Ovis aries: one gene and its partner. The protein of the gene in region 2 binds, or shares a complex with, the protein of the main gene of each other region. Links are inferred from orthologs where the notes say so. Each region holds a gene or a part of one and is shown on either strand. Other genes may lie near its edges.

Region 1 (11,014 bases), on a different chromosome or scaffold from region 2:
ATTTTGTGTATAACTAAATCACTCTGCAGTAAACCTGAAATTAACATTGTAAATCAACTATACTCCAATTAAAAGAAAAAAAAAGCTACTCTGATGTAACTTGCCAAAAGGAGGCCTATTGTACAAACCTTTTCTGTACTGAAACTTGAATTCAATCTATCAAGACCCACTCTAGTTCTCACTGTCGTAGTAGAGAAGCTCCAAAGGAACACTAATCATCTGGAATTTAAGTGAGATTATACCCCTTGATTCAATTTTATTACCAAAATTCTTTCAATAAACAAATATTTACTAAGTAGCTCTCTCTCTATATATATATCTCAGGCATTGTTCTGGGTGCCCAAGAAACTTCAGTGAATTTGGCCTTGCTAAGAATAAAAAGCAAAGGCTCACAAAAGATACTATAAATACTGTGAAAGAATAGGACAGTGGTTAGACTGGTTTGGCCTTAGTTCTGATTTGCTTTTCATATAGAATGCAGGTTTGGAAGCCAAAAGTGTAATGACAAGAGTGGTCTAATACTACCTATTTCTCCAGATTCTTTGCGCTCGTGCTGTGAACTGGTTGGAATTTGCACCTGTACTACAAATCTTCCTTGCTGAAGCACTTGCCAAACCAACTGTGCTAAGTATCACACCAGAGGTCTGCTTGAGCACCTGGAATCAGATGCAGACATGTGCTGAGCATATGTGGCTTGCTTCAGTAACTGCTGTGGTTGGCTCCACTCGGGAAACTCTTGGTGTGAGGCTGGCAGTCAACGACAGAAGTGGATCCCAACAAACAGGAAGTTTTCACAAGAAAATCTTTAGCCTCTGGTATTTGGTAAGCGTTGGGAAGAAAGAATCTTATTATATTCATGTACTTTTCAATTTTTCAATTCACTGACAGTTGGGACTAAATGGCCAACGTTATACACTGTTTATTTATCTCTCAATGGAGATCTGTACTCCAATTCACCTAAATGCTTCATACCATCTGTGAATATTATGAGACGATAAACAGAAGTACACAGCTGCTGCTGTATTATCAACAGTCTTCCCTTTGGCATCACGTATAGACATGAGGGGACTGAAGGACTCTTTCAGGTTCCACCACCCCAACAGGTGCACCTACTCATGAAGGAGGCCGCTGGCCCTGGCCATGCCCTTTACGACTCTATTATTGCTTAGGTCTGGAGCCTTCTTGAAAGATCTGAATCTTTGGGAAGACAGCTGCCCTTCTGAAAAATTGTTCAGGCTACACTTTAGATTTCACCATGAAGGGAAAAATTAAGTTTTGCAAGGATAGTTGTTATTGCCTAGTCACTAAGTTGTGTCTGACTCTTATGACCCCATGAACGGTAGACTGCCAGGCTCCTCTGTCCACAGAATTTTTCAGGCAAGAACACTGGAGTGGGTTGCCATTTTCTACTCCAGGAGATCTTCCTGACACAGGGATCAAACCCGGCCGGGTCTGTTGGGTCTCCTGCACTGGCAGGCAGGTTCTTTACCACTGAGCCACAAGGGAAGCCCCTGCTAGGATAGCATCCATCTGAAAAATAAAATCTAGTCCTGGGGCAAGAAAATTCTCCACTGCAAAACTGATTACCAAACTTCAGCTGATTAAGGGCACTGTGTAAAAATCCTTTTGTATGAACAGTTCTGACTTAGGAGATTTGGGGTGAGGTCTGAAATTTTTCCTAACAAGCTCCAGATGGTGCTGGTGCTGCTAGTCTGGGCAATACATGGAAAAACAAGGTGACAGAAGGCCACTAGTGCCCAGGGACAATTTTGAGGCTGGTCACAAGCAAACCAGTGGGAGCTTGCCCCATCAGGAAAAAATACCTCAGTTCCTCTTACAAATTTGCACTCTCTGTTCTTACGGCTAAAACTGAAAGCCTACCACCAAACTTTAATGATTCTCCGAAAGTTTTGCTCTTTAAAGTGCTTCCCAGCTATCATTAAAAAATATATATGCATGTGTGTAATACAATTCCAATCATCATTCCAAAAGGACTATTTTGGAAACAAACTAAATTATTCCCAGGTTATTCCTGAATAGGTAAGAATGACAAAAAATGGATGTGGCATGGGATTAGGGAAGGACAGAAAGCAAGGACAGTAGCAAGGACAGAAAGACGACGTGATAAAAGAGCCATCACATATCATGAGGGAAGGAAATAAATGTTATTGGACAATTATTCAGCTATTTGACCAAAAAAAAAAAAAAAAAAAGACAGCTAATTTAATATGCCCTTTCTCTCAATAAATTCCAGGTGAATGAAATACAAAATATCAATCAAAAGGAAAATATGAAGACCCTAGGAGAGAGGTGAATACCAATCAAATCCAGAAGGAAGATTAAATTTGGAAGAATTGGAAAAAATAAAAGGGAAAAACAGCTGACAATGTGTGTGTGGATCCTCTGTGTTAAAAAAATAACATTACCATATACTGACATGAATCCGCCACGGGTGTACACAAACCCAATCCAGTATTGTAAAGTAAAATAAAGTAAAAATAAAAATTTAAAAAAAAATAAAAATAAATTAAAAATAACATTAAAAGACCAACCAGGAAAATGTTTCTATTAGCTATGACAAAGTAATAAGAAAAATAAAAAACAAAAAGTAGCTCAGAAGTGTTTTCCAAAAGACAAGAGCACAGTATGCTTGGAATTCTGGAATCTAGATCCGTCCCTTGGCTTTCCCAAGTGAACGTTTCTCTCATTTCTAGCGTTTACTTCCATCACCAAACGTTCTAGTCTCTCACGTTAAAATAGTGAAAGTAACAAGCAGCAGAGTATCTTAACAAATCCTTCCTCTGTGACCAACCCATTTCTCTATCCCTTTGCTTCCCAGGTGGCACAGATGGTAAAAAATCTGCCTGCAATGCGGGAGAACTGGTTTCAATCCCTGGGTCAGGAAGATCCCCTGGCGAAGGAAATGGCAACCCACTCCAGCATTCTCGCCTGGGAAATCCCATGGAGGGGAGAGCCTGGGGTGCTGCAGTCCATGGGGTTGCAGAGAGTCAGACATGACTAAGCGACTTCACTTGTTCACTGTCAAGACAGTTTCCACTTCCTTTCCTCCCTTCCCCTTTCTGAAGTATCTATCCCACCTTTCCACAAAATTATTGGAGCTCTGATTTAAAAAAAATAAAAAAAATCAATGACCTCCAGTGTCTTCATCTTATCCAACCTCTTACCACCACTTAACACAGCCTACTTGCTTTAGTGAAACATTCCCTTAGGTTCCCTCCCACTTCACTGGCTGTTTTCTTAATTGTGTTTGGTGGTCTCTCCATTCAAGCTATATCTGCACTATCCATAAAGCAGCCCACTAGTCACACATCACTACTGAGCACCTGAAATATGGCTAGCCTGTGACTATGCTGTAGGAGTACAGAAGACAGTGGATTTTGAAGCTCTATAGTATGGAAAAAGACTTACTATGATTCTGAAGTGTTAATCTGAACTTTGAGGATTTTTTACCTGGTGAAATACTTCAGGTATACTGAGTTAAATAAATTTCACCTGTTTCATTTTACTTTTCAGTGTGGCTACCAGAAACTTTAAATATGTGGCTCATGCTGTATTTCTACTGGATGGTGCTGCTTGAAATGTCAGAGTATGCGAGGGTTTGGTCTTGTTCCTCCCTGAACATTGCCACCACAGAGACAGTATCATCACCCATATGATAGCTCACATTAGAGGTAAAGAAATGTAGACAGTAGTATTTTCAGACAATCAGGGCAGGATTTCCAGGTGAAACAGAACTATTTGGTGAGGCAAAAAAAAAAAAGCAGAGACTGAGCAAGACTGGGCCAGCAGCTCAGATTTTCAAACTGGGGATAATTGAGCCCCACCTTAGCTCTCGGGAGCTAACTCTGCCCACAGCTTTTAGTTTCTCCTTTGGAATGTGTGCCTAGTTTAAGAAACCTTCAACTGGCTCTCCTGTTTTTTTCTCTTTTTTAAAGACCAAAGTTTGTGTGACTTTGGCAGGCCCTAAAATTCTAGTTAATCACTGATGACTTGAAAATACAAGCACTGTTCCCCTAAAGAGGGTTAATTTCACATATATGCTGCCTGCCACTGACCAAAACTTGTTGGAAATAACGCCAATGACATCAATTCAACAGAGATGCTGAAAACTGGCACTAGGAAGAAACTTAGCAACAACATTTGTCCCACCAGTTAAGAAACAAGAAAAATGAAGTTGAGAAAGCTGAAAGACTTGATTCATTCAGATCTTAAGAACAAAACAAAATGGATTTTGGAAACAGTACACATGCAAATCAAGATTCAATGTGCAAAACAAACAAAAAGACTCAATGTGCAGATTTAAAACTTAATAAGTATCAAAACTACTAACCATTCTATAAGCACTCCTTTCAAGACGTTGACCATCTTTTCCCAGTCAGAAGGTGCTGATGACCCTAAAAATGGTAACAAAACCCTAAGGTGACAAAATAGAAAAGCATTAACTTCAATATCCTTTGGTGATTTACTTCTGAACAGAGGCAAAAAATTAAACGCCAAGACTAAACATAGAAGTCTATTAAAAACATAGAGCTAACATTAGGAAAACATACAGATATTCTGATCTTTTAACAAAATTCAAACGAGTCTATTTGGGATAGTAACAATGCACAAATCTTATTTGCAAACAAATCCTACCCCAGTCACTCCTAATGAAAGCCTAATGGGGCCTAACTCCACAGCAATGTGGCCAATCCAGGTTTAGAACAAGTACATTATTTAAAATATTTCTTTTTCCCACGTAGAAATACGATAAAAGGTAAAATTCTGGGAGATAGGAGTCACAGAATGGTAGCTTCGCAAGAGGCCTTAAAAATTATATGGGGGCTCCGACCATCTCGTTTTACAGATGAGATGGAGCAAAAAGATTTAAGTCGCAGCTACCAGCAGAAAAAGAACAATCCAAGTCTCCAGATCTTGTGTTATATTGCCAAATAAAATATGTACCCCAGTGACGTGCGCTCGAAGGTAAGGAACCCATTCAGCGCACGCCAAATTAACTCTTATTAAACTTCCACACCTCGGCGCTGGGCAATGCCCCCCCCCCGCCCCCCCGCCCTCCGCAAAAGAAATGCACAGTTCAACTGCCGCGGGGCAGCCGCCCGGCCTCGTCAGAGAGACAGGACGGAACCCTGTATCCCCGCAACCTGAAAGACAGGTTTCTAGGACTTTCCCCTCCCCTCCTTTTTTCTTGGAAACCCACAGAACTTCCACGCACGCCAGGCTCCCCTACGGCTCCGAGGGCCGACGCCACGTACCTTTCCACCCACAGATCCCACAGCGCCTAGGCACCGACAACAGAGTACGCATGCGCCTTCTACGTCATCGCGACAGCGACGGCCTCGAGGGTGGGGCGCCCCGGCGAGGAGGCGGGCTGTGGGCGGGGTTTATAGCGGGGGCGGGGCGAGACGAGGGCGGGGTCACGTGCCGCCCGCCGCCGGTGGAGGGGCGGGGACTGGGAGCAGAGGGGCGGGGACTGGGAGCAGTGGGCCGGGGCGGGCTCCCAGCGAACTCGGTCCTGCGTGAACGGCCAGGGGGTTGTGGCCGCCTCCGCGCGCCGGCAGGTAAGGAAGGTAGGGCTGGGTTCGTGGGTGGGGGGCGGATGCAGGCGAAACCGGGCACTGCGGGCCGTGGGGCGAGCGGCGACTCGGCGCGGTCGGGGCGCCCCAGTGAGGGCGCGCGGCCCCTGGCTGACCCGCTGACCCGGCGCTGGGCGTGAGGTGAGGGCCTGTTTCCCCGCCTCGGCAGCCCGGCTCTGCTTTCCCGGTCGCCACCCTCCTCTTAATTCCAGTCCCAGGCCCAGAGAGCACCTGCTGGTACCGTCGGCCACAGGAAGGATGGTGAAAATGAGGAGGAAACAAGTCTCCGCCGTTCAGATTGGAACCTTTCAGACCACAGCTTCTATAGCTGTGACGCGAGAGGATGAATAAGATTGAATGCTGATGGGTCCTCCGAGCCCGGAGGAAAGACCCAGAGAGTTCCAAAATTACTTCCTTCTCCAGATTCGGATCTGTAGTCTAATACTCTGGCCACCTGATGCGAAGAGTCCACTCATTGGAAAAGATCTTGATGCTGGGAAAGACGGGGCAGGAGGAGGAGGGAAACAGAGGATGAGATGGTTAGATAGCATCACGCAACCTAATGGATATGACTTGAGCAAACTCGGGGAGATAGGGGAAGACAGAAAGAGCCTGGCATGCTGCAGTCCACAGGGTTGCAAAGAGTTGGTCTCCACTTAGCTACTGAACAACAATGTATTGGAGCTCTAATTGTTTTTTTTACCAGTCGAGAAATGAGGTTTCTTGCTTTCTGTTCCTTAGGTGAAATTGTACTTCTCCAATTGTGTGTGCATGTGATTTAGGAATCTAGCTCTTCCATTTATTTCCCTCTTTCTTTGCTTCAAATCTTTCCCGTTGGTTTCCATGCTGTTGCGCATGCTCGTTCCCTCCCTCTCTCTAATCTGCCCCAACAATAGTTGTTCCTAAATTTATTGTTTTTTTTCGTCTTGAATGCATTTTCCTCTTTCACTGTCTCATCGGTTCCATCCCGTCAAACCTCTATTCTTGTGCGCCAGATGTCAGATGCCTGCACGTTAATGACCTGTGAGAACTCTAAAGAATGCCTCCCAACCTGAATTAGACCTCACTTCACCATCACTTCAAAATCTGCTTTTCTTTCCGTGTTTTTCCAAATCATCTAGATTTAAAATCGCCATTTTTTTTTTATTCAACAAACATTTTGTGCGGTATATGTCAGACCCTATTCTAGACATTGAACTAACAATGGTGAGCTGGCAACTTAATTATAGGCAGGGAAAAGGATACTAAAAATCAGATAACTAGAAGGTTAACTGATAGGATGTGATAAAGAAGGACTGGAAGGGCTGCTTTTGTTAGGAGGTCATCAAAAATGACCTTCAGTTCAAGCAGATTTCTGAATAAAAGAGTAACTTCTACACACCAGCAAAAACTGGGAATTTTAATAATAAAAAGATGCTATTCATAACAGTATTGAAAACTGAAGGTATCTGGAAATAGATCAAACTAAAGGTGCATTGTCCTTTAAGGAGAAAATTATAATGCTCTATTGAAACACATTAAAGAAGACCCAAGTAAATGCACCCATATACCATATTCATTGGAGAAGGAAATGGCAACCCACTCCAATATTCTTGCCTGGAGAATTCCATGGACAAAGGAGCCTGGCGGGCTACAGTCCATGGGGTTGCAGAGAGTCAGATACAACTGAGTGACTATCACCATATTCTTGGGGTAGGAAGACTCAGTACCATAAAGATGTCCATTTTCTCCAAATATACAGATTTGTTGAAATTCCTATTAAAATTGGAATATGGCTTTTCATGGAGCTTCACATGTTGAACCTAACATGTCTATGAAAAGACAGAGCACCTGGAATTCCTCACTCAATTTTGAAGAAAAAGTCTCTGCCTTCTAGGTATCAAAACAATATAATGCCGTAATAATCAAGACTCCTGGCTTAATTACTGGTCTTGATTTAGGGATAGGAAAGTAAACCCATGGAACAGAAGAGAGAGCTTAGAAACATGCTCATATACGTATGGAAGTATACCGCCAAGTAGTAGTATAAAAGCACTGTATTCAGTAAACGATGCTGAGCTACGTGGTATCCATATAGATTTAAGACAAAATTGGATTCCTACTTCACATCATTTACAATAGCAGTTTCCAAATGGACTAAAGACCTAAGTGTGAAAGACACACCTGAAAAATATTTAGAAAAAAATATAGGAGACTATGGTGTTTCTGGGAAAGATTTCTTTTTTGTTTCTTTGTGTTAAATACATGTAACATAAAATTTACCTAACCACATACAGAGTGCAATTCAGGGATATTCATGTTATCATGCCACCATTACTACTGCTTGTCTTCAGAAGCAGAATTACTAACTAGTTAGTAATCGAACCCGAGTCTCTTATGTGTCCTACATTGGCAGGCAAGTTCTTTACCACTAGCACCACCTGCAAAGCCCCAAGATGTATTATAAAACTGCATTAATCAGTACTGTGTGATTTTACATGAGGGTACACAAATAGATCAGTGGAATGCAATGTAGTACAGAAATAGGCCCATACTTATTTAATCAATTGATTTTCAACCAAGGCACAAAGTCAATTCAATGAGGATAGGAAAATGTTTTCAACAAATGATGCTGGGACTATTGGCTATTCATATAGAGGGGGAAGAAATGAACTTCAACTATCTCACTCAAATCAAAAAATTAATTTGAAATGGATCATAGCCTTAATGTAAAAGTGAAAACCAAAACGCCTTTTAGACAAATCCATAGAATATTTGTGACTTTCAGGTAGGCAAGAAAAATTTCTTAGCTAGGACATAGAATGCAACAACTATAAAAGAAAAAAGAATTTGGTTAAAGAGATGTTATGAAAATTAAAATTTCTGTTCAACAGAAGGTACGTTTATAACAATGAATAGGCAAGTCACAAACTGGAATATACTTTACATATATATGCATACATACATATGTGTGTGTTTATCCGTCTATATACATACACTGTAAGGAAGCCTTGCCATGGAGTTGTATTTTGTTGTTGTTTGTAAGTTTAAAGGATTGGAAACGCAGTTTGGGTGGGATGCCAAAGGAAAGTGACTGTGGTGCATCTGAGTCACTGACAAGGAAGTGCCATGTTCTGTAACATGGAAACTCAGAGGGGCCATCTTTTAAGATGTGGGCAGGTGCAGAAGTGGTACAGAGCGGTCACAAACATTTGCTTTTTATAAATTAAGTGATTCACATAAAAAAAAAAGTTGGTTAAAGTTAGCTTTGGTTTCTGGTCTACAATGTGGCCTTCTCTTTAATCAGAATTTCCCGTGGACTGGAAAAGACAGGAAAGCCCACTGATTACTGAACGGTGTTTGCATAGTCTGCCTGGGAAAAGTTGCACTATTCTCTCTCCTCCCTTGTCTATCGTTATCTGTACTCAGTGGAATTCTTTAGCATTCTTTGGCAAAATCTGCTAGATGAGTTCAGATTTTTCCTTCTATTTGTCCTCAGGCCAGCTGTCCTCAACTTCCACAATAGAGTGGAATGGGGAGGGGTGGGGGAGGGGGAGTTCCTGTTCATATAGTTGTCTACATCAGTGTTACTATACATTTTACTTTTTTAAATTACTGTTTCCTGACTCTACTGTAATTGCACCAAACTTCTGTATCATTCATACAGAAGGTGTTATTACAATAACCCATCAATGATAGAATGACTGTCTCATTATGGATTTCTTTCTCAGCAGAACCTTCCGTTTCCCATATACTGTATGTTATCTTATATGAAGGTCATTACTGTAAATGATCTCTGAATCCCACTGACCACCTTAGGTGGAACCAAATGTTGCATTCCAAAGTGCAGCTCAACATGGAAACTGGTGTCCAAATCTGTTGTTGTTCAGCCACTCAGTCATGTCCAACTCTTTGTGACCACATGAACTGCAGCACACGAGGCTTCCTTGTCCTTCACTGTCTCCTGGAGTGTTCTCAGACTCGTGTCCGTTGAGTTAGTGATGCCATCCAATCATCTCATCCTCTGTCACCCACTTCTCCTCTTGCCCTCAATCTTTCCAGTGAGTTGGCTCTTCACATCAGGTGGCCAAAGTATTGGAGCTTTAGCTTCAGCATCAGTCCTTCCAATGGATATTCAGGGTTGATTTCCTTTAGGATTGACTGGTTTGATCTCCTTGCAGACCAAGGGACTCTCAGGAGTCTTCTCCAGGACCACAGTTCAAAAGCATCAATTCTTCAGCACTCAGCCTTCTTTATGGTCCAACTCTCACATCCATACATGAGTACTGGAAAAACCATAGCTTTGACTATACGGATGTTTGTCAAAAGCAAAGTGGTGTCTCTGCTTTTTGATATGCTGTCTAGGTTTTTCATAGCTTTCCTTCTAAGGAGCAAACATCTTTTAATTTCATGGTTGCAGTCACTGTCTGCAGTGATTCTGGAGCCCAAGAAAATCTGTCACTGTTTCCACTTTTTCCCCTTCTGTTTGCCATGAAGTGATGGGACCAGGTTCCATGATCTTAGTTTTTTGATTGTTGAGTTTTAAGGCAACTTTTTCACTCTCCTCTTTCACCTTCATCATCAAGAGGCTCTTTAGTTCCTCTTCACTTTTTTCCATTAAAGTCATATCATTTGCATATCTGAGGTTGTTGATATTTCTCCCTGTGATCTTCATTCCAGTTTGTGAGTCACCCAGCCTAGCATTTCGCATGGTATACTCTGCATAGAAGTTAAATAAGCAGGGTGACACACCTGCTTATTTAACCTTTTTAAAATAGCCTTAACGTACCTTTCCCAATTTTGATGAAGTCAAGTGGGCCTTAGGAAGCATTATTACAAACAAGGCTTATGGAGGTGACAAAATTCCAGCTGAGCTATTTAAAATCCTGAAAGATGATGCTTTTAAAGTGCTGCAGTGAATATGCCAGCAGATTTGGAAAACTCAGCAGTGGCCACAAGACTGGTAAAGGCCAGTTTTCATTCCAGTCCCAAAGAAGGGCAATGCCAAAGAATATTCAGACTACCATACAATTGCACTCATTTCACATGCTAGCAAGTTGATTCTCGAAATCCTTCAAGCTAGGCTTCAGCAGTATGTGAACTGAGAACTTCCAGATGTACAAGCTGGATTTAGAAAAGACAGAGGAACCAGAGATCAAATTGCTAACATCCACTGTATCATAGAAAAAGCAAAGAAGTTAAAAAAGAAATCTGCTTCATTGACTACACCAAAGCCTTTGACTGTGTGGATCACAGCAAATTGTGGAAGATTCTTAAAGAGATGGGAATACCAGACCACCTGACCTGTCTCCTGAGAAGCCCGTATGCATGATAAGAAGCGACAGTTAGAACTGGAGCTGTGTGTCTGAATCTGGGGCACAGTTTATTCATGAGGGCCCAGTGGCTCCCCATGGGCAGTATATGCTGTCTCTGGCAAG
Region 2 (10,561 bases):
TAGATAATAACTGCTAGGAATGTCTGTACATACCTGGGTTTTATTTCGGCAGCCCCTGCATTCATATGTATGGGTCCTGGTGTTCGCAATTGCCATTATTCCACAAAGATTGCAAACGTGAACCTGATACGGATCTGACGCCTCAAACAACCTCTCCCTTAGAAACTGGGCTGCTCCATGCGCGATCTGACAGTCTCGTTCCATCTCTCCAAAACGCAAGCCACCATCACTATTATGGGAAGAAACAACAGGCTATTTTGTACTGATTTTCTATTATCAATACCACTTTGACTAATGGCAAGTATAAAAAGTAGCATTAGTAAAGAATGAGAACTAGACTCCAATTTTTCTACTTTTGTATTCTGTCAGCATGGTTAGGAGGCTAAGAAGGCTACCAACTATTTGATGTGCACTAGAAGGTCCCCAAACAGAGTTCACACATTAGTTTCTTAAATATAGTAAATATACTTTTTCAAATAAAACACAATGACGTACAGAATAAAATCTTGTAACATTACCATTTAACTTATTTGAATTCATCTGTATGCTAAAAATTTAATAATAAAAGTTAATCTAAATAAAGTAGCTTCTCCATGAATGAGACTCCCAAGCAATCAAACCTGAAACAATAAATGCACATTGGCACAACTAATGGAAAGAAGAGGTGAAATCAGTCACAGGTTTCCCCAGCTTAGTAAGTGAAATGAAATGCATTGTTCTGATGGCCAGGCAAGTAGATGGTGATGGCTTCCTTAATATTCTTCTATATAAAAGATAAAGAATGGTTTCATGGGAATACATATACACACACACACACACATATATATATATATATTAATAAAATACATATGATTAAAGAGCTTCTAATGATACTACCAAAAGCAAAACACTTGGTCAGCTTTAGAGGATTCTAAGTAACTGACTCATCATTTTGAAAACTGGTAAATAAAAGGAAAGAATTGAGCATTTATCATGTCTTTTACTATATGAAAACTATGTCACCAGGTAACCAGATGATGAAACAAAATTTCTCTCTATGAAAGTATTCCAGCTAATAAATGAAGGAATGATAAAATTAGAATCTCATCAGTCTGCAATCCCTATTTAATTAAAGGTTTTAGGTACTGAACATTAACAGCTACTAAAGTCACAAAAGAAAAACAACCAGATATGGAAAGTATACAATTTTGAATACTGCCTTTTAAGTATTACTATTAAAGAACACAAACCCTTCACCTCATCAAGGCTCTAAATCCAATTAGCTATTTACAAGAAATAGGCACACACAGCCCAGGAATGCAATCAACAAAAATCCAGACTGTGAGAGGGAATTCCCTGGCAGTCCAGTGGTTAGGACTCGGCGCTTTCATTGCTGGCACCCAGGTTCAACCTCTGGTTGGAGAACTAAGATCCCACAATTCAAAAAATCCAGTCTGTGAGAAACCCTCCACAACAAACAATCCAACAAATAAAGTGCAAGAAAAAAAAGTTAAAGGGTAACCGACAGATTAAGAAAAAAACTTGAGACATATCAATCAGCTACAAACCATGAGCCTTATTTGTATCCTAAATGAAACCAACAAATGTTTTTTAAAAACTATGCAACTGTCAAGAAAATCTAAACACTAGATATTTAATATTAAGGAGGTACTGTGATTGCTTTTATAACTTTCCTATTTTCTAAAGCAGGAGTTCTGAGAGTGTGGTCTGTGGACTCTTAAGGGTGAAAACAGTTTTTATAATAAAACTAATGACACATTTGCTTCTTTCACTGTATTGACATTTGCACTGACAGTTGCCAAAGTAACTGAATAAACTGCTGGCACCCGAACACATCAGGTGGGTAGAACCATACTTTACTAGCAGTCATATTCGCCAGTGTATCTGAAGGGTGAGAAAACCAGTTTTATATAAAGTATGTCATTAATGAAGCAATTAAAAATGATTAGTTTTATTTAACTTTGACTCCTGAGTACATAGTTTTTAACAGTCTGATAAAAGAGTTCTCATAAGGTACTTTAGTTGTATATTAAAGATGGTGGTCTTGAAATAAAGTGCTTGCACAATTTTGAAGTAGTCACTTTTATCATGAAATATCTTTTATACTTGAAAAAACAGCTGACACCAATCATGTTAATTTGCCAACAATAGCACCAACTATGTTAATTCAGCCTTAAGATATTTGGCAGACATTTTTTTCACTCAAGGAAAACAATTTTAAAGATTTGTTGTAAATCATTAAAAATTAGTGTTTCAATCAAAGAGGAGAATTTTAGAAAAAGAAAACCTCTATCCAACCCTCTGAGCTTGATAACCTCCCAATACTTAAAAACTTTCTGATGACATGGTGGTGATATTCACAAATGTGAAATTTGTTTTTTGATATAATGAAATGTGTCAACATGTAAAAATCTACACAACTCAATGAAAATATTTTTCAAATAACCAATTATGAGACTATGAAACTACATAAGTATAAAAGATACACTCAAAGTATAAGACAGGCCAATGGATTTCAACATAAAAGATTCATTTAAGTAGTTCCAAATTCTACATCACAACTAACCTTTAGAAAGGACAACTTGTCACTCTAGTGCAGCATCAAAAAAAAAATCCAGTCACCTGAAAGTTACTATAATATTCTTCCCTTTCAACCATAAATCTGTGTGAGGTCACATAGTTAATTATAAAAAATAAAATCCTGCAATGGATTAAATGCAGAAGCAAACACAAGAATCAAGAATCTAGCTATCTTCTCACAAACCAGTTCATTAAGAAGATTTGCAAAAAGATAAACCAATGTCACTTTATCACTAAATTTATCTGGAAAATACTTTTCACTTAAAATGTTATTTATGTTAATGTATAACGAATTTGTTACTGTTATTTTTTAAACCAAGTAATAAATATTTTAAACCTTTCTCGGTTTTAATTTCTAACATGATAAATATCAAAAGATACCAACTCCCTTTTAGGATCCTGGAATCAAGAAATATTAGAACCATTCTTTTATATAAGATCAATGATGCAGCTCTCTTACCGAGATCTACCCTCCATCGGCTGTCTATTAAGAATCTGAATAGGTCCCCGAGCACGAGAATGAATCTTATCATCCACCATGTGCTTCAAACGCTGGTAGTAAGTGGGGCCAATAAAAATCTGTGATGTGATTTTTCGACCAGTGAATCCATTGTATAAGACCTGAAACAAGCAGATTTTTAAATACAGACTTAAAAATTACTAAACAAGTTCAAAGTATATATGGACATATACTATACAATTCCATTTCTAAACAAATCAAAACAGACTAAAATAATCTATGCTGTAAAAGGAGTAATTACCTTGGGGTGGGGGTATGAAGGTAGTGACTGGAAGGAGACACAAGAGAGCATCAGGGATAAAAGGATTCTGATAATTTTCTTTTCAAGATCTGGGTGCCAGTCACACCTGTGTTCACTTGGTGAAAATTTTATCAACCTGAACATTTATGGTTTATGTATATATTTGAAGTATGTGGTATACTTCAATGAAAGATTTATTTTTTTAAGAATGAAATAACACACGTGCAAAAAAAGAATATACTTAACAAATTACCAATGTAAAAGCAAACATACCTCATTTCCTCTGAGATGGTAGCCATAATCAGATAGAAGATTAGAAATCTTCTGCACATTAACAGCATCATTGAATGGAGTGGCATCACCAATTTCACCCTTGTTAGCTGATACCTTTAAAAAGAAAAGTAATGTTTAAAAGGTTGCTTCCTAAGGAAAACACCAATACAGTATACTAACACATATATATGGAATTTAGGAAGATGGCAATGACGACCCTGTATGCAAGACAGGAAAAAGACACAGATGTGTATAACGGACTTTTGGACTCAGAGGGAGAGGGAGAGGGTGGGATGATTTGGGAGAATGGGAATTCTAACATGTATACTATCCTGTAAGAATTGAATCACCAGTCTATGTCTGACGCAGGGTGCAGCATGCTTGGGGCCGGTGCATGGGGATGACCCAGAGAGATGTTGTGGGGAGGGAGGTGGGAGGGGGGTTCATGTTTGGGAACGCATGTAAGAATTAAAGATTTTAAAATTTAAAAAATAAAAAACTAAAAAAAAAAAAAAAAAGGTTGCTTCCTTCTGTCTCTCTTTAGAAGTCTATGTTAATACAAATATAGTCAGCTAAAAAAAAAAAAAACAACCTTTTTAAGAAAGGGAAGATTGGGGTCATGGAATTGGGGTCACCATGGTAAGGAGCATTCCAACTCACTTCTACTCCTAGCTTCTGGATCTTTGAATATGTCCTGTTAACACTGTCACTAACTCACCTACTTGGGTGCTGCAAGAATTGAATTAAAACTGTGCAAGAATGCAAAAAAAAAAAAAAAGGGAAGATTTTGAACTTAAGATTACAAATTAACTTAAATATCTGTTATGGAAAGCTGTAACATCATAAGGTTCATTTTATTAGCATCTTACATAAAACAGAACTACCTATTAAGTCTTCAAATAGGAAGCTCTCTGTGAGACCACATACAAAAAGAATGAGACTCTCAAATATTTCCTATGACTCAAGGAAGATGACATTTTAATCCTTACAACCAAGTCATCCATGTGTTAAGCTGTAGCCGCTGCTGCTGCTGCTAAGTCGCTTCAGTCGTGTCCGACTCTCTGCAACCCCACAGATGGCAGCCCACCAGGCTCCTCTGTCCCTGGGATTCTCCAGGCAAGAATACTGGAGTGGGTTGCTATTTCCTTCTCCAGTGCATAAAAGCTGTAGCTACTCTACCTTAATAAGATCCTTAAAAATAGAAAACCTCCACTGAAAGACACATGCATAGCTAATATTACAGCTATAAAACCATTAGGTTCACAATGAACTAACCACCACTTATAGAAAAGAACCAGTCAAAAGAATAACCACATATTCAAAGACTGGATATAGTAAATTTTGCAAGAATTTTTAGTCATAACTTTGCAAATTTTTGCAAACAGACAGACAGACATAAACCAACTTAAAAGCAGGAAAGTAGTGTCACACTGGCTTTTTCCACAGTACCCTGACTAAGAATGAGAGAAATCACCTAACACTTTGGAAGAAACATCAATTTGAGACCTATATCTGTAAAGAAAATCTCTTACCTTCCCTTGAAGACATTCAATCAAGTGACCAATGGTCATACGAGAGGGGATGGCATGGGGATTTATGATGATATCGGGGGTGATACCTTCACAGGTGAAAGGCATATCCTATAAAGGAATTTTTTAAAAGACACTTGAAAAACTTAAATCTCTTAGCTATAGAACTAGAACTGATTCTCTTTCATCTGAACTTTGCTATGTCCTAAACTCTGTTCAACACAGTATACATGCTAAGTTGCTTCAGTCGTGTCTGACTCTTTACGACTCTATGGACTGTAGCCTGCCAGGCTCCTCTGTCCATGGGATTCTCCAAGCAAGAATACTAAAGTGGGTTGCCATGCCCTCCTCCAGGGGATCTTCCCAACCCAGGGATCGAACCTGCAGTTCTTATGTCTCCTGCACTGGCAGGCAGGTTCTTTACCACTAGCGCCTGGGAAGCCCTCAGCATAGATGTTCACCTACTTGTTCGGCACTACAATTCAAAGTCAAGCCTTTACTGCCTCTAGGCTCTTAAGTTAAAGCAAATTTTAATAAAATGATCAATAAAACTGTGAGTCAGAGGTGATGAAAGATACCTACCTCCTGTCTATACTGAATACCACAAGTACCCTTTTGACCATGTCGACTAGCAAATTTGTCTCCAATCTGTGGAATTCTAACAGAGCGTACCTGAATTCACATAAAAATAAGTTAGTTAGGTCATTCTGGTTTACTTTCTATAAACAACAATATGACAAAGCTATACTTACCCTTATTTTACAAAATTTATATCCTTCTTGGTTGAGAGTTACCATAACCTGATCCACAATGCCAGTCTCACTAGTCCTGAGAAAAGTGCTACAGTCTCTCTTTGTATAGCGTCTATTAGTGCCCTCCAATTCATCTTCATTTTCAGGCAAGGTGACTGTTTTGCCTATAATAACATCATCTCCTGACACACGAACTCCAGGAGCTATCAAACCATCATCATCCAGCTTGTCATAAATAGCATGTCTCATACCTGAGAAGAAAGAGAATTTTCTGAAATGGTAATACCATAAAGAAAAGTATTTAAAATGTCACATACTCCCTCTCTCAAAAAGATTAAAAAGCAAATATATACATCAGTTTTAACCAGAGAGAAGTTCATAGGAATATCTAACACGTTACAGTAACATGCCCTTATTCCAAACATTACAAACGATTCTGAACTTTAAAAAAAGGCATTGGACTGAGTACTGGAAAATCAATTCTCCATTTGCTAAGTGACTTTGGATAAATGTGTTGCCATCTTTTGCTCCCTATATTACATGAGAAAGAGTTATCTATGTCCTCTATACAAAATCTCCCACAGAAAACTTGAAATCTAAACTGTAACCTTAACTCCACTAAAAATCAGTTCACTGCTACACAGAAGCACCCACAGGAAATGTGAGTACAAAAACGTTTTACTTCATGCAATACTATTAGAAGCCAAAACTGTAGCAGATATTCCCCCAGGACATCCCATCCATCCCAAAAGCTGTATATAGCTTATAAATGTCTGTAAAAATAGTAACTAGAAAATAAATCTGAGTTTTTCAAAAGAAACAAAGTTGTAGACATTCTCTCATTATTTACCTGCTAAATATATACATATACTGTGGCCAGACAAACACTATGGTCACATCAGAATGTGAAGAGGGGAGGAAGCTCCCATGAAAATACATAAACTAAGGGACAGGACACGGTACAAGTGAGAATGAGGCTGGGTGTGTCCCATGCAATTATATGGCCTCTCTACTTTCCTAAATCCTTTCCTCAATGCAGGACCTAGCAGAATAGAAGGACTATAGCAAGCCACTCCAGGTGTAAAGACTTCTGGCAAATATATCTATTTCCTTAAATAGAAGCTCTAAGAATGACTAGCAAACATACTCCCACACTGCGTAAAGAAGGGTGGGAAGACAAAACCCAGAAAAACTAATTAGGAGTTAACTTTGAATTCCATAATTTCACTGTCAGTATCACTTACCCTGGCAAGTTTCACGTGTAGGCTTCTCAAAAACTTCTTCTTGATCAAACCCTTTTTTAGATTCCTGTTCTTTGTATGATCGATAGAAAACAGACCTAAAAATACATGGTTCTAAAGTGAACTTTATTTTCCTTTAATAATACAACTTAGAACACACCAATAATTTTTACTTAGTTGATATCTGATAATTTTAACCATAGCAATTAAACTATGAATCTAGGACAGGAGTTAACTGTATGAGGGTCAAACTTAAGTCCTAAGAGCTAGTACACAGGTCACCCATGTAACATTTGATCCTTAACACAGCTTGAACTGTGAGAACAGGAATACTAAGTCCAACCCTCGACCTAAAATAAGAATCCCTCCCATAACAACCCTCAGAGATGGTCACCCAGGATCTGCCCCAGTATTTCTACTGAGAAATTTATGATATTAAGCTATAATGTCCAACTCTGGTCTGATATCCTCTGACAACTATACAGAAAAAAAATCTATCCTCTCTTCTAAATTCTCAGTTTTTTAACCAATTTTCACATGCCATGGATTTGTGATTAATGTTTGACAATCAAACTGAATAACAGAAAATTAGACTGAAAAAGAAAACATACTATAATTTTAACAGTAGTTATTTAAGGGTCCTAAAACTCTTAGGTTTATCTTTACTTCTTCTTTAGATACTTCTATATTATCTAAATGCAAGTATTTTTTTGCTTACAAAAAAAGGTGGAGGGGGGGCGCTAAAATATTAGTACCTGAAAATACTCAGATACAAGAAACAATCTTTAGCTGTTCAGGACCATCAGTCAGGCCTTCCACTTTCTGGAGCAGGACACTGACTTCACCATTTTAACCCCTATACAGGCAACCATACAACAACCTATGTCTGACAGGCATCCACAAGTTTTATGAATGGAGACAGATTACCTATCTTAACAGAAAAATTTCTCTGCTGTCAGATCAAAATTTCTTCTTGCCTGACATTCAAAACCACCAAAAAATTTGGACACACACAAGTCACACCTTTATTTTTTTCTTTTTGACTGTACCACGTGATACGTGGGATGTTAGTTCCCCAACCAGGGGAATGATGCCCTCCGCATTGGAGGTACAGAGTCTTAACCACTGGACCACCAGGGAAGTTCCCACAGCTATTTTTAAAAAACTTTTTTAAAAAATTAAAATATTAGTATTTCCACTATATCTGTATTTTGGAATCTGTTATAAATAGCTGACCTGAAAAAGCCTCTGTCTACAGCTGAACGATTCATGATAACAGAGTCTTCTTGATTATATCCAGTGTATGATGCAATGGCTACAATTGAGTTGATACCTGTAGTATATTCAAATAGCAAACATTAAAGCATCACATGAGAAACAAAGAAAAATTACCTCTTTCTTTTAAATCTATCCTATTTAACTACATTTACCACAGATGTTTTCACCATGGTAACTGCCAAAGTCTACTCCTCCTGGAAGAGCAATCTGTGAGAAAACTACTCTGATGGTTAAATGTTTAATATACGCAAATCCTAATAGTAGTCACTCCCACTGTATCCACTTTCTAGTCAGTGATTATATACATGTAACCGTATATTTATAAAGTCCCTCCCCCAACCAGGTTTCATGATTCTCACCACAACCCTGTGCCATAAACAAGGCATTATTATTATTATTTGCGTATTAGAAAGATCTAACAAAACTTATCCATGATCTCAAAGTTAATAAGCAATAGATTCACGTCCCAGCTCTTGTCTGCTGACCTTGAGTTTGACCTGGTACCACTCTATCCCTCTCTTCGCAGCCCTGCTCTGCTCCTAGATCCTCTCCCTATACTACAAAGAAAAGTGGTGTTACCTTTTCTACCTCAATTTTATTTAGTTGCTACCTCCAAAACTATTTTTTTTTTTCAAAACTATTTTTGATGAGACCTTAAGACTTAAAGTATCAAGTATTGACAAACAAAACTGATAAACCTTTAGCCACACTCATCAAGAAAAAAAGGGTGAGGGCACAAATCAAAAATCAGATGAAAACAGACAAGCTACAACTGACACCACACAAATATAAGGAGTCAGAAGAGATTACTATGACTATATGCCAATAAAATGAATGGACAAATTCTTAGAAAAAGACTGAACCAGGGAGAACTAGAAAATATGAACAGACAAATCCCAAGTACTAAAATTGAAACTGTGATTTAAAATTTTCCGACAGACAAAAGAGTAGGACCAGATGGCTACAGAGGCAAACATTCAGAGAAGAATTAAGACCTATCCTCCTGAAACTATTCCAAACAGTTGCAGAGAACAGAACACTCCTAAACTCATTCATTCTATGAGATCACCATGACCCTGATACCAAAACCAGAGAAAGATACCACAAAAAGAGAAAATTACAGGCCAGTATGCCTGATGAACACAGACACAAAAATCCTGAACAAAATACTAGCAAACTAAAGAAAAAACAAAACAAAATAAGAGTTACCACAAAATCCAGCAATTCCACTCCTGGGCATATATCCAGAAAAGATGAAAATGCGAATTCAAAAAAACACATGCACCCCAATGTTCATAACTGCACTATCTATAATAGCTAAGGTATGGAAGCAACATAAGTGTCCATCAACATGGTCAAGCTGTAAAATGCAGAGAAAGTACATAAAGATGCCGGATCCTCAAGGTAGGGGGGAATCTGAAGATAGATGACAATTTGCAGAAATCCCAGGGTCTTGGGAGATGTGATGTGCTCACTCCTACTGCTATGGAAGCCAGCAGCAGGATTTACGTGACGTTTGTGATACATGGAATGGGCAAGATTTCCCTTGTACATCCTCACAACATACAGTGCTACCTATGGCCCTCCCTCTCATCAGGTGACATAGCCTGTAGGTGCTAAATGGTCTTGGCCCTTGTAGGACTTTCCTCCTCTGCTGTGACAACCCCTGACAGCCCACACACGCTATATCTACTACATCCCAGGAAGCAATCCCCTCCATCCTACAACCTTGATCCAAGGTACGCAGGCAAGTCTGAAAGATCAGCTAAATTTAGCTAAAAGCAGTAAACTTCTGAGTTTTATTTCTAATACATTCTTCTTAGCTTAAAAGCCCCAAATCAAAAAACAGTGTAGTGAAGAGGAAAGAGAACAAAAAAGGAAAATGGGGGAAAGACCTATTTCTGGTCTTAAAAAAAGCCAGAGTTTGCATTCTGGGTTTACAAAATAAGTTGTACAACTTCGGGGAGATAACCTTTCTGATCCTGTCTCCACAATTGTAAAACAGAGAGGATACAACCACCACTATTACTAATCAGCTAACATTTATTTCTCCCTTATTAACTGGTAGGCAGAAAGCCATGAGTTTTAAGTGGATGTAACCATTTAATCATCACAAAAGCTTTGAGGCAGTTTGTACGTGAAAAAAC

Evidence for each region.
Region 1: POLR2B (region 2) and GTF2H5 share a complex: the UniProt entries of both Homo sapiens proteins name them as parts of the TBP-based Pol II pre-initiation complex. The link is inferred for Ovis aries from reciprocal best matches to the Homo sapiens genes POLR2B and GTF2H5.

Annotation. Positions count from the first base shown.
Region 1 is NC_056061.1:82,448,931-82,459,944, reverse strand, and holds the start of GTF2H5 (general transcription factor IIH subunit 5), read right to left. Parts: upstream 5,338-11,014; 5' UTR 5,329-5,337; coding exon 5,277-5,328; intron 4,436-5,276; exon of another isoform or gene 4,416-4,435; coding exon 4,352-4,415; intron 1-4,351. UniProt on the Homo sapiens protein: Component of the general transcription and DNA repair factor IIH (TFIIH) core complex, which is involved in general and transcription-coupled nucleotide excision repair (NER) of damaged DNA and, when complexed to CAK, in RNA transcription by RNA polymerase II.
Region 2 is NC_056059.1:73,135,851-73,146,411, reverse strand, and holds part of POLR2B (DNA-directed RNA polymerase II subunit RPB2), read right to left. Parts: intron 8,470-10,561; coding exon 8,373-8,469; intron 7,235-8,372; coding exon 7,140-7,234; intron 6,147-7,139; coding exon 5,896-6,146; intron 5,816-5,895; coding exon 5,726-5,815; intron 5,255-5,725; coding exon 5,147-5,254; intron 3,729-5,146; coding exon 3,615-3,728; intron 3,202-3,614; coding exon 3,041-3,201; intron 230-3,040; coding exon 34-229; intron 1-33. UniProt on the Homo sapiens protein: Catalytic core component of RNA polymerase II (Pol II), a DNA-dependent RNA polymerase which synthesizes mRNA precursors and many functional non-coding RNAs using the four ribonucleoside triphosphates as substrates.